Linked DNA regions of Drosophila melanogaster. The protein of the gene in region 1 purifies or fractionates together with the protein of each later gene. This does not show direct contact. Each region holds a gene or a part of one and is shown on either strand. Other genes may lie near its edges.

Region 1 (4,724 bases):
CTCTGGGAGAGTAGGTATGGGATTGGGACTGGGATTGGGCCTGAGACTGATCGGATAAGGAGGAGCAGTACTTACCATCCTTCGGTGGACTGGCGCAGGGCGGGGCGTAGCTGCCCAGATGGTAGCCGGAGTAGGAGTTCTGGTGCATTGGCGGGAACGGGTAGCCGAGGGCGCTGCGCGGACTGGGGAAGCCGGAATCCTGGCCGCCCTGCGGTCCGAAATGCTGATAGGTGCTCCGGATGCCGCCGTACCTGGAATGCCGCAAATGCACGGAAAATAATCAATACGGGGCTGTAATATAGCTGTGGCAGTTGTGGAAGAAGTAGTGGAAGTAATGGAAGTGGCGTACACCGGCTGTGAATGTGAATGAATCGTGCCGGGGACAAAACTTTTCCTACTTGCGTGTTTTGTCTACACTTTTCACTATTCACTATTAAATTCAAACGTCGCCGAGCATAGGACGAGCGTTCGGTCGGGAAAATATCTAAAAGTGGGCCCAAAATGTTTCATGTTTAATGCAAGAAGCGTCGAAACCAAAACTTTTTCTCTCACAACAAAAAATTAGGCTGGCGGAGAGGAAGGAAATTTTTGCCATGACTTCATTTACAAAAACCAGAACCGAAACCAAAAACAAAACCAAAACCTATCCAAAGCCCGAACTGGATGCGGCTTAATATATCAAAGAAAAATCAATACGAGTGTCAGAGTCGCTGTGTTTTAGTTTCGGTTTGGTCCGCAGTTCCGTTTGCAGTCCCGCTCGCTCGCGGTAAATATTTTGTTAACACTTTGCGGGCGAAACAGTTGAGCAAGTTCCCATGCATTATGTTCCGAGCGAACTGCATGAAATATTCAATGCTCTCCTGGCCCCTCAAACACGGAAACGGAAGCGGGCCGAAAGCAGCAGAAACCGCAACGGACAGCGGCCAACGGACAACGGAGAACGGACAACGGACAGCGGACAGCGAACAGCGAACAACATGGCAGCCACTCCGGGGACGGAGAAAAGTCGTGGCCAGGAACAACTCCCGAGGGCTGGTCGGCGCAGCCAAGCATTCCAAGTCCCGTCCCAGCCCAAGAGCCCAACACGCACAAATGACAGAGCAGTGGAAACCGCAAGGCTCAAAACCAAGAATGCAATAAAATATGTATAATGAAAAATCGAATCGTGCGTTGGGAAAACAATTTGCGGCTGCAAACAGTTCGCCGAGTGAGCGGTAACAGTAAACAGACCACCGAGCCCGACTTATTGCTACCCCATGAGGAACGTGTTGTTGGATAGGAACAGAACCCTCCGGATCAGACGCTTATTTAGAACACGGACCGGGAGTAAACTACACTTAATTGAATTTATTTTTGGCTTCCGCTGCCGGCCAGCCAGGCACCAGCATGAACTGTAAGCCGGAAAGTGCAGCTGAAGTGATTTTCTTAATCAAAACTAATAGTATAGCGAGACCCCAACGCGAAATCGATCCCGAAAATAGTATCATAAAGATGGAAAGCTGACGGCAACTTTCATCGATTCAGTCTTAGTCGATTTGGCTGAGGGCCTAGAGAAGGCTAAATGGCGAATTGGCAAATTGAAATTTAAAATTGTGATTTCGAATTTATACTACATTTGTTACTTTAGAAGTACATTTTTATGGAAGTCAAAATAATTTTTAACTTTGGATTACATTGACGAATTCATAAATCTACAATTGGTTGCTTTCATTTTTTAAGACAACTAATAATTATACAAGTTTTTTAATAGTAAAATTTATGTATCGATCGAAATAAGACTATTGGCTATTGTAATGTAATCAGTAATTAAGACCCTAAAAAGTTATATGAACTACTTAGACAATATACTCTTGAGTTAACCTGACTTTATTTAACTGCTTGCTTTTACCAACTGTTATTTATTATTAAAAATTGAATTTGTTTATTGTAATGTCAATGTACTATATTATCTATTTATGCAATTATGCAGCTTGTAGTCCTATGCCAACTAACTTTTTCCCTTGAAATGAATGAAATGATTTTAAAGACCAAATGGTTTTATGGTACGTATAGCGCTCTTTAGATTCATTAAAAAGATTCATATTCGAGTTTTGGGAACGCCCTGGCCACAAACTCCTTTTTTCTCGGGTGTGTCAACTGCTCCGCACAGATTGAGATTGAGTTCCGATAGGTTTGGTTTTGGCAGGGCTGAAGTCTGGAGGGGATCGAGTCTTTTCGCCGAAACACTTTCTGCAATCCTCCCGGTGACTCCACTCCACTGATCTTGGGGACACTCACCCGGCGGCGGCGTGCTGCTGCAGCTCCACGAAGGCGGACTTTCCCGGGATGTTAATGCCGGGCGTGACGCTGGCCGCCGTGTTCCCGCCGTCCATGTACTTGGGCGTGTGCGGGGCGTCGGGGGCGTCCATGCCCGACTGGGGGGTGCTGGGAGGCCCCTCGTAGGGGCTCCCTAGGTCCGTGAAATTGAGCGTGTTGGCGCCTATTGAGGCCACTTTATCAAGAATTTTGACGGCTGTTCAGGGGGATGCGCGCGGGAAGGAAGTTCTCAGAGATCCGATGGCAATGATCAGCTATACTTGCACAGTAGGAGTGTGTGGCTTGCGTATCTAAGGTTTTTGTAGGACACAATGTCTTGGCTTCAGTTCAGTTCGGCGACTTGATTTGGCGGAACTGTTGAGCGCGTAAATCCTTTCAGATGGCGAGGAGGCACTTTTCTCAGCACTGACACTCAACTTGTTAGCAACTCAACTCACTCGAAATTGCTTTCTTGTATCACTTCGATTTCTGGCTGTGCATATTCTTTGTAGATTTTCACGATTTTCAACTCCGTTTTGCGAATCAATCAAATCAATTCATATCAAATCAGATCAGATCAGATCACTACAAATCACTTTATAGTCCGCGACGGATCACTTAGCTCGACGCAGAAACGCAAGGCGCAAAACGCTACGACGGATCGACGACGGCAATTCAACGGCGAGAACAGCGGCGACGACTGCACACGAACAAAGTGCGTATACGACTAGGTGAGGTTTTCGCGGCGCGGTTGCGCGAGACTTCGACTCGCTGCGCTGTCGCTTTGCGGCCGTGCCGCTTTGCCGCTCTGTAGCAGTGGTGTGCGAGCGGCGCAGATGTCATCCATCGCCGTGCGTCGGAGCGGGACGGCTGCTGAGGCCCAAGCCGCTGGCAGTGACTCTCGCCGAGCGTCGCCAATCGGGTGGTTTGCAACCGGTTTTCTCGGTGGTGTCTCTGTATGGTGGTGCAGAAACCGCACCAATACTATAAATTTCCCCGTTCCGGGTGCACGGGGGTGGGGCTGGGCTCTGGGACCCCGTTTTTGTGCCGCTCAACTCGTCAACTTTGTCTAGGTCTAGGGCCCGCATCGAGATTGAGGCGTGGCCTGTCGCCCCGCGTCCCCACGGATTTGGGGAACTTACGGCGTGTATATGCAAATTCCAGGGGGAACTGCCCGTGGAAAGTGCAAATATTTTGACGTTTTAAATAATGTTGATTAAATGCAAAGGTCTCAATTATTAAATTGATTGTTGAACCTATAATTTGTCTTCTTATTTAGCCGCTGCTCCTTTCGGGTCTTATTTTCGGATCAATCGAAACTGTGGCACACGCATTTCCACGGGTAATCAACAGTTGCGGACAACAGACGAATTAACTTAATGATTTGTTTACGTTTTACAATCGGTGGGCTTGCTTGTAAGGAAAAAACGCTACGCACACAAACAACATAGCGTGGTATATATGACAGGTCTGCTATCATTTTCTAATGGAACCTTTAATTTGAAAATCCTTTCTAGGGAGTCTTAAAGCCTCCTTGGAGTTGGTACTTGTGGCGCCACCTAGTGGCCGCCTTTGGCAGCGACAAACCAGTCTATCGGGCCAACCTGCTCACCTGTCAAACACACACACACACACCCTCGCAGCCGCACTCGTACACACACATACTACCTGCGCACCCAGCACGCCCCCTGCTGAGAGCAGAAACTCCCTCGCCACGCCCCCTTGAGCGTTTCGAGAGAGGGCAGAGAGCTCGAGTAGGCCCAATTCAAAATGGCGTCCTTTCGGCCACATAATGTCGCTTTGTGGCTAGGGCCAAGCGACACGGACCGTTTGCTCGAGCGGACTTTTTCATTCACAAGACAAAGTCACCGAGCGGAGAGAACAGCGGAATTTCCACCTTTGTCCGCCTAGCCTAACTGGCAGTTGAAGCGGCGGCAAAGCGGTCTCCATTCCACCCCTTTCCCCTCTCCCAACAGCAGGCAGTTGTCACCTGAGAAGGATTTCCGCTGAAAGTGGGAAAATATGCATATGCATGAGTCGGAGCGGCGCTATTAACCAGAACCAGAGTGCCACAAAAATCGAATTAAGTTTGTTTATAAAAGTAAATATAAATCGAGCATCCAGCGGTAATTGAGCGCCTGATCCGACTGAAATGCTAATCCCCTCGTCCGGATTGGATCGGATCGGATCGGCTGTGGAGCCCGCCGTTCCGAGTTATGACCTGGTCGGCTGCGCTGCACTAATTTAAGGTAGCACTGCAAATGCACGTAATTGTTGCAATTACTTAATGAAATATTTATTAAATGCAAATTATGATTAGCCCGGGCTAGCCACTGCACTGCAGCTACTGTTCCTTTTCCCAGTGAGGCGCCTGGGCTGCGCTGTTTGTGCTTGACTAGGCCAATGGTAATACGGGTACCCCTCTTGGG
Region 2 (4,097 bases), on another chromosome or scaffold:
TCTCATCTTCTCCTCACTGGGAACTGATCCCGCTGAGTTGGAGTTGCTCAAAGCATTCATTACGTTTTCAGCAATGGTGGAGTTTATCACTCCACTGGCCGCTGGAACGCCCTCGTTCGGATGCCGTGGACCAGCTATTGTTGGGGTCGAAGGAGCAGCTGTCGCTGGAGTCGTGGTGACTGGTACTGGCGCCGATGGCACTCCCGCAGTAGCTCCGCCCATAGCGTGCATGATCTTGCCCAGACCCAGTTGCTGGGCTGTGCTAAAGCTGAAGGCATTGGCAAAGGCCAGGCCAGCAGCATTTGCACTCGCCGTGGCAAAGGGATTCGGAGTAAGTACGGAAGTGGAGACACCTCCACTGGCGCTGGTGGCATTGGAAAACGGAGGCGGCACAAAGCCGCTGGGCGTGGCTACAGGTACAGGTACATGGGTGTGACTCGTGGGCGAGATCTGGGCAGAGGCAGGTGCTCCGCCGACAGGGCCCACGGGCGTAATGGTCAAAGGAGAGCCCTTTGCATGGATAGCAGGTCCTTGAAATCTGGTTGCGCTGTAGACTATATCCGCGGGCTGTAGGCTGCAGTTCCCATAGGGATTGGCGTTGGGTTTCTGGAGGGGTAGTGCCACAGGGATCGGTTGAGGTATGGGAATGGAATTGGAGACTGGTGCTGTTGTTGCTGCTGGCGCCGCTGATTTCGTCCACTGCGCACCCAGCTGGCCGTGCTTCTCGGACATGTTAGGTGCTAGTGCTAGCGGCGCCTCCGTTTCCCTCCGCCTGCTGCTGCTCCCTCGTTGTTTTCTGCCTGCTGTGGTTTCTGGCCAAGATTAAGGGCGCTTCCGCTGCCAGGTTACGTAGGTGGCTGCCTGTGTGAGTGCTGGACTGCGTTCTATTGAGTGTGTGTGTGCCTTAGGAGATGGAGATTGCCGAGTCGATAACTGGCGCGACGAACATTTTGACGGCTGCGACGGACGAAGATACGGATGCCAGATATAGTTGCTTTCCCATTTTCCCGTCAGGCGGGAGTGCGCTGGGCGTGGGACGTGAAAGTGCGTGGCGTTCTTTACTGCCAACGAGCATGCGATTTTCCCAGATACGCACCGATTGAACCGAAATAATCCATTTTTTAACGAGAGATAAGAAAATATCTTGCGTTCTGCGTCTCGAAAAATATGTGGCGTTGCCAGACGGCTGCATTAAGAAATGTGCTTTTTTTGCCAGAGCTTTCGGATGTAAACACGGTGTTGTATTTGCGATTTCGCATAAATAAATGAGTAAATTACTAATAATTTGTATATAATTTGCAGATTCACCTTACGCAATGTTAGCTTGTATATGATAAACATGCAACGCTAGTCTTTTAGTGATCTTGCTGTCATCGTTATCGCCACTGGTCAAAAAAATGAGCCATAGAGAACTGGTTCCTAGCTAAATTAAATCTTTGGTGAGATGTATTGTCAGTATTGGACATAATATTTTCTATTGATAAGGCAAATTTAAGCGCATTAGGCCTTTTTTTAAATAATATTTAATGTAAGACGTTGGTATTTTTATGATTGAATTCTTTACTCTATCTAAATATACGTAAATATGAAAGAAATATATAAATATATATATAATTGTTTTCATAATATTTGAATATTTGAAGTATTAATATTTTCTTTCTCATTTTACAAGTTGTTTGTGTTTATAGGCACACTGGGGAATACTTTCAGTTATCATATCATATCGTTTAGCCATGGTTAAAGGAACAAATATTTCCAATGTATTGTCACAAGCAGCAAACATGTTTATCAGATATTTAACCAAAAATCCGCTTCCCGGAACCAGCAAAATGAACCACATCGTGTTCGCCGATGCTATGCAGCCCTGGTAAGGAAAATGGCGATGTCTTTTCGTTTCTTTTTTCAGTCGCTTTACACAACACTTTAGCAACACAAATTTTAACACTACAATACTACGCGAGCGGTTCTTTAAATTAAATTTCGAGCAGGATTCCAGAATGCGCGTCGAGCTTACCCCACAGACGTGCCGGGTCTGCCTGGCGCAGAGTGAGCGACTGCAGCGCCTAGACGAGATCCGCGAGGAAGGCGAGGAATCGCCGAACGAGATGTTGATTCAACTTTTGGGAGTCTCATACAGCAATGTAAGTGAATCGCTAGAGCTGGCAATGCGAACTGACCATTCATCCATCCATCCCTCATGCAGCTGAACGACAGAGAACACATACCCGATGGCATCTGCAAGTCCTGCAAGGTCGAACTCAACATGGCCTACCAGTTTCGCGAGAAGGCGCTGCGCAAGCAGATGGAGATTGAGGAGTACTGCCGGGAACTGGGCTTGCTGGACGAATCAGATGTGATGATGATCAAGGAGGAGGACGGCTCGCAGCAGCAATGCGACGAGGAGATGTACATCCTGGAGGAGACCACCACCGGGGAAGAGGAGCACCAGGAAGAAAAGGGGCACGAGGAGTACTTGGAAGTGGACACCAGCGATCAGCAGGAGTGCATTGGCGACACCATCGAGTACTTGGAGGACAACTACACCATCGAGATGAACTCCGATCAGACCGAGATCGTCCTGGAGTCTGAGAAGCAGTACGAAGAGACACCATCGCAGCAGTTGGCGCTGCAGGAGGCGGCCAAGGCAAGCCTGAAGGCGCGGCGCGGCCGGGTTCGTCGCGGATTAAACTCCCTAACAACATCGGACGGCACTGAGAAGGGTGGCTATATCTGCGACGTCTGCGGAAACTTTTACGAAAAGCGCGGCCGGATGATGGAGCATCGCAGACGCCATGACGGCATCTGCCAATATGCATGCGAGTAAGTCGAGTCGGTAAATTTCATATTAAAGCGATAACCCTAATCCCGCCTTCACAGACTATGCGATGCCAAGTTCCAGGTGCGCGAGCAACTGAGGAAGCACATGTACTCCCACACGGGCAGCAAACCCTATAAGTGCAGCTTCTGCAGTCGTCAATTCTTCTACGAAAGTGTTCTCAAGTCTCATGAAAAGTGAGTAGAAATGTTATTCTCACGGAGAGGCCTCAAAATGGGCCATTTAAATATATTCCTAGTTCGGGACAGAGATAACTAACTTTTCTTTTTCCGATCAGTGTTCACCGTGGCATCAAGCCCTACGTGTGCAAGGTGTGCGACAAAGCGTTTGCCTACGCTCACTCCCTGACCAAGCACGAGCTCATCCACTCGGACATCAAACTGTACCGCTGCGATTATTGCAACAAGGACTTCCGTCTGCTGCATCACATGCGCCAGCACGAGGAGACCAAACTGCACCAGAACGCCGTAATGCTGGCCGAGAGCATGAAGGTGGAAATGGTGGCCGAGCAGGGGGGCGGGAACGAGATCCGAATTCAAGCTCACTGACGCAATCAAATTCAGTAGAGTATACTGTCTTATTTCCAGATATAATCCCTTATAATCAGTAATACTAGCTTAAACGCTAACGGATAGCGTATTCATAGTTGTAAGAATGAACTTCATACGTAAATAAAGGTTATTTTTGTTAAAAATAGAATATCAAACGTATGTGATGTTTTAGCAGCATGTGGAATTTGGTTCATAAAATTAATTTATTTGATAATTTGAATACATACAATACAATACAATACAATTTGAAATGTAACACGCCCGAGAAAATCTGGCAATCTAGTTGTACGCTAGTTGGTAAAAGTCACAACTGGCCGTAGTTATTTCCACAATCAATGTTCGCAATGTGTGTGCGCGGGAAGCTATGCTGAAAATTATGCAATAAATATGGGTGGCTTCATGACGCCGTGGGTATATAAAATGAAATTGGAAAAAACCCAATTTGCACCTAGCGCATGCAAAGCACCAACAAATGTACAATATCAAAGGAAGTTCCGAAATTACATGACTTGAATGCGTTTTTTTTTTTCATTGGCCGCTTGTCTCCTTTTTTGAACTCCCCCGTGTATCATATCATCATTTTAGCGGAAACAAAAAATGTTCTTATGGACTGGTAAAGCCTTTCGGCCCCTGGGGCTTTGTATTTGATTACGGGTGGTGATACACTGCAAGCAAAGCTGGGTACAATAATTCAAAATAGGTAACCAAGG

Evidence for each region.
Region 2: the proteins of Dll (region 1) and Zif purify together in Drosophila melanogaster (affinity purification with western blotting; one study listed by BioGRID). This does not show direct contact.

What each region holds. Positions count from the first base shown.
Region 1 is NT_033778.4:24,813,121-24,817,844, reverse strand, and holds the start of Dll (Distal-less), read right to left. Parts: upstream 3,024-4,724; 5' UTR 2,409-3,023; coding exon 2,278-2,408; intron 252-2,277; coding exon 76-251; intron 1-75. UniProt on the Drosophila melanogaster protein: Transcription factor that plays a role in larval and adult appendage development. Specifies the identity of ventral appendages (including legs and antennae) and suppresses dorsal appendage development. Involved in patterning the distal-proximal limb axis.
Region 2 is NT_033777.3:6,455,290-6,459,386, forward strand, and holds Zif (Zinc-finger protein), read left to right. Parts: upstream 1-1,798; 5' UTR 1,799-1,867; exon of another isoform or gene 1,868-1,927; 5' UTR 1,928-1,997; coding exon 1,998-2,141; intron 2,142-2,203; coding exon 2,204-2,820; intron 2,821-2,877; coding exon 2,878-3,012; intron 3,013-3,113; coding exon 3,114-3,384; 3' UTR 3,385-3,533; downstream 3,534-4,097. Other genes in the region: CG9727 (uncharacterized protein), read right to left, coding at 1-732.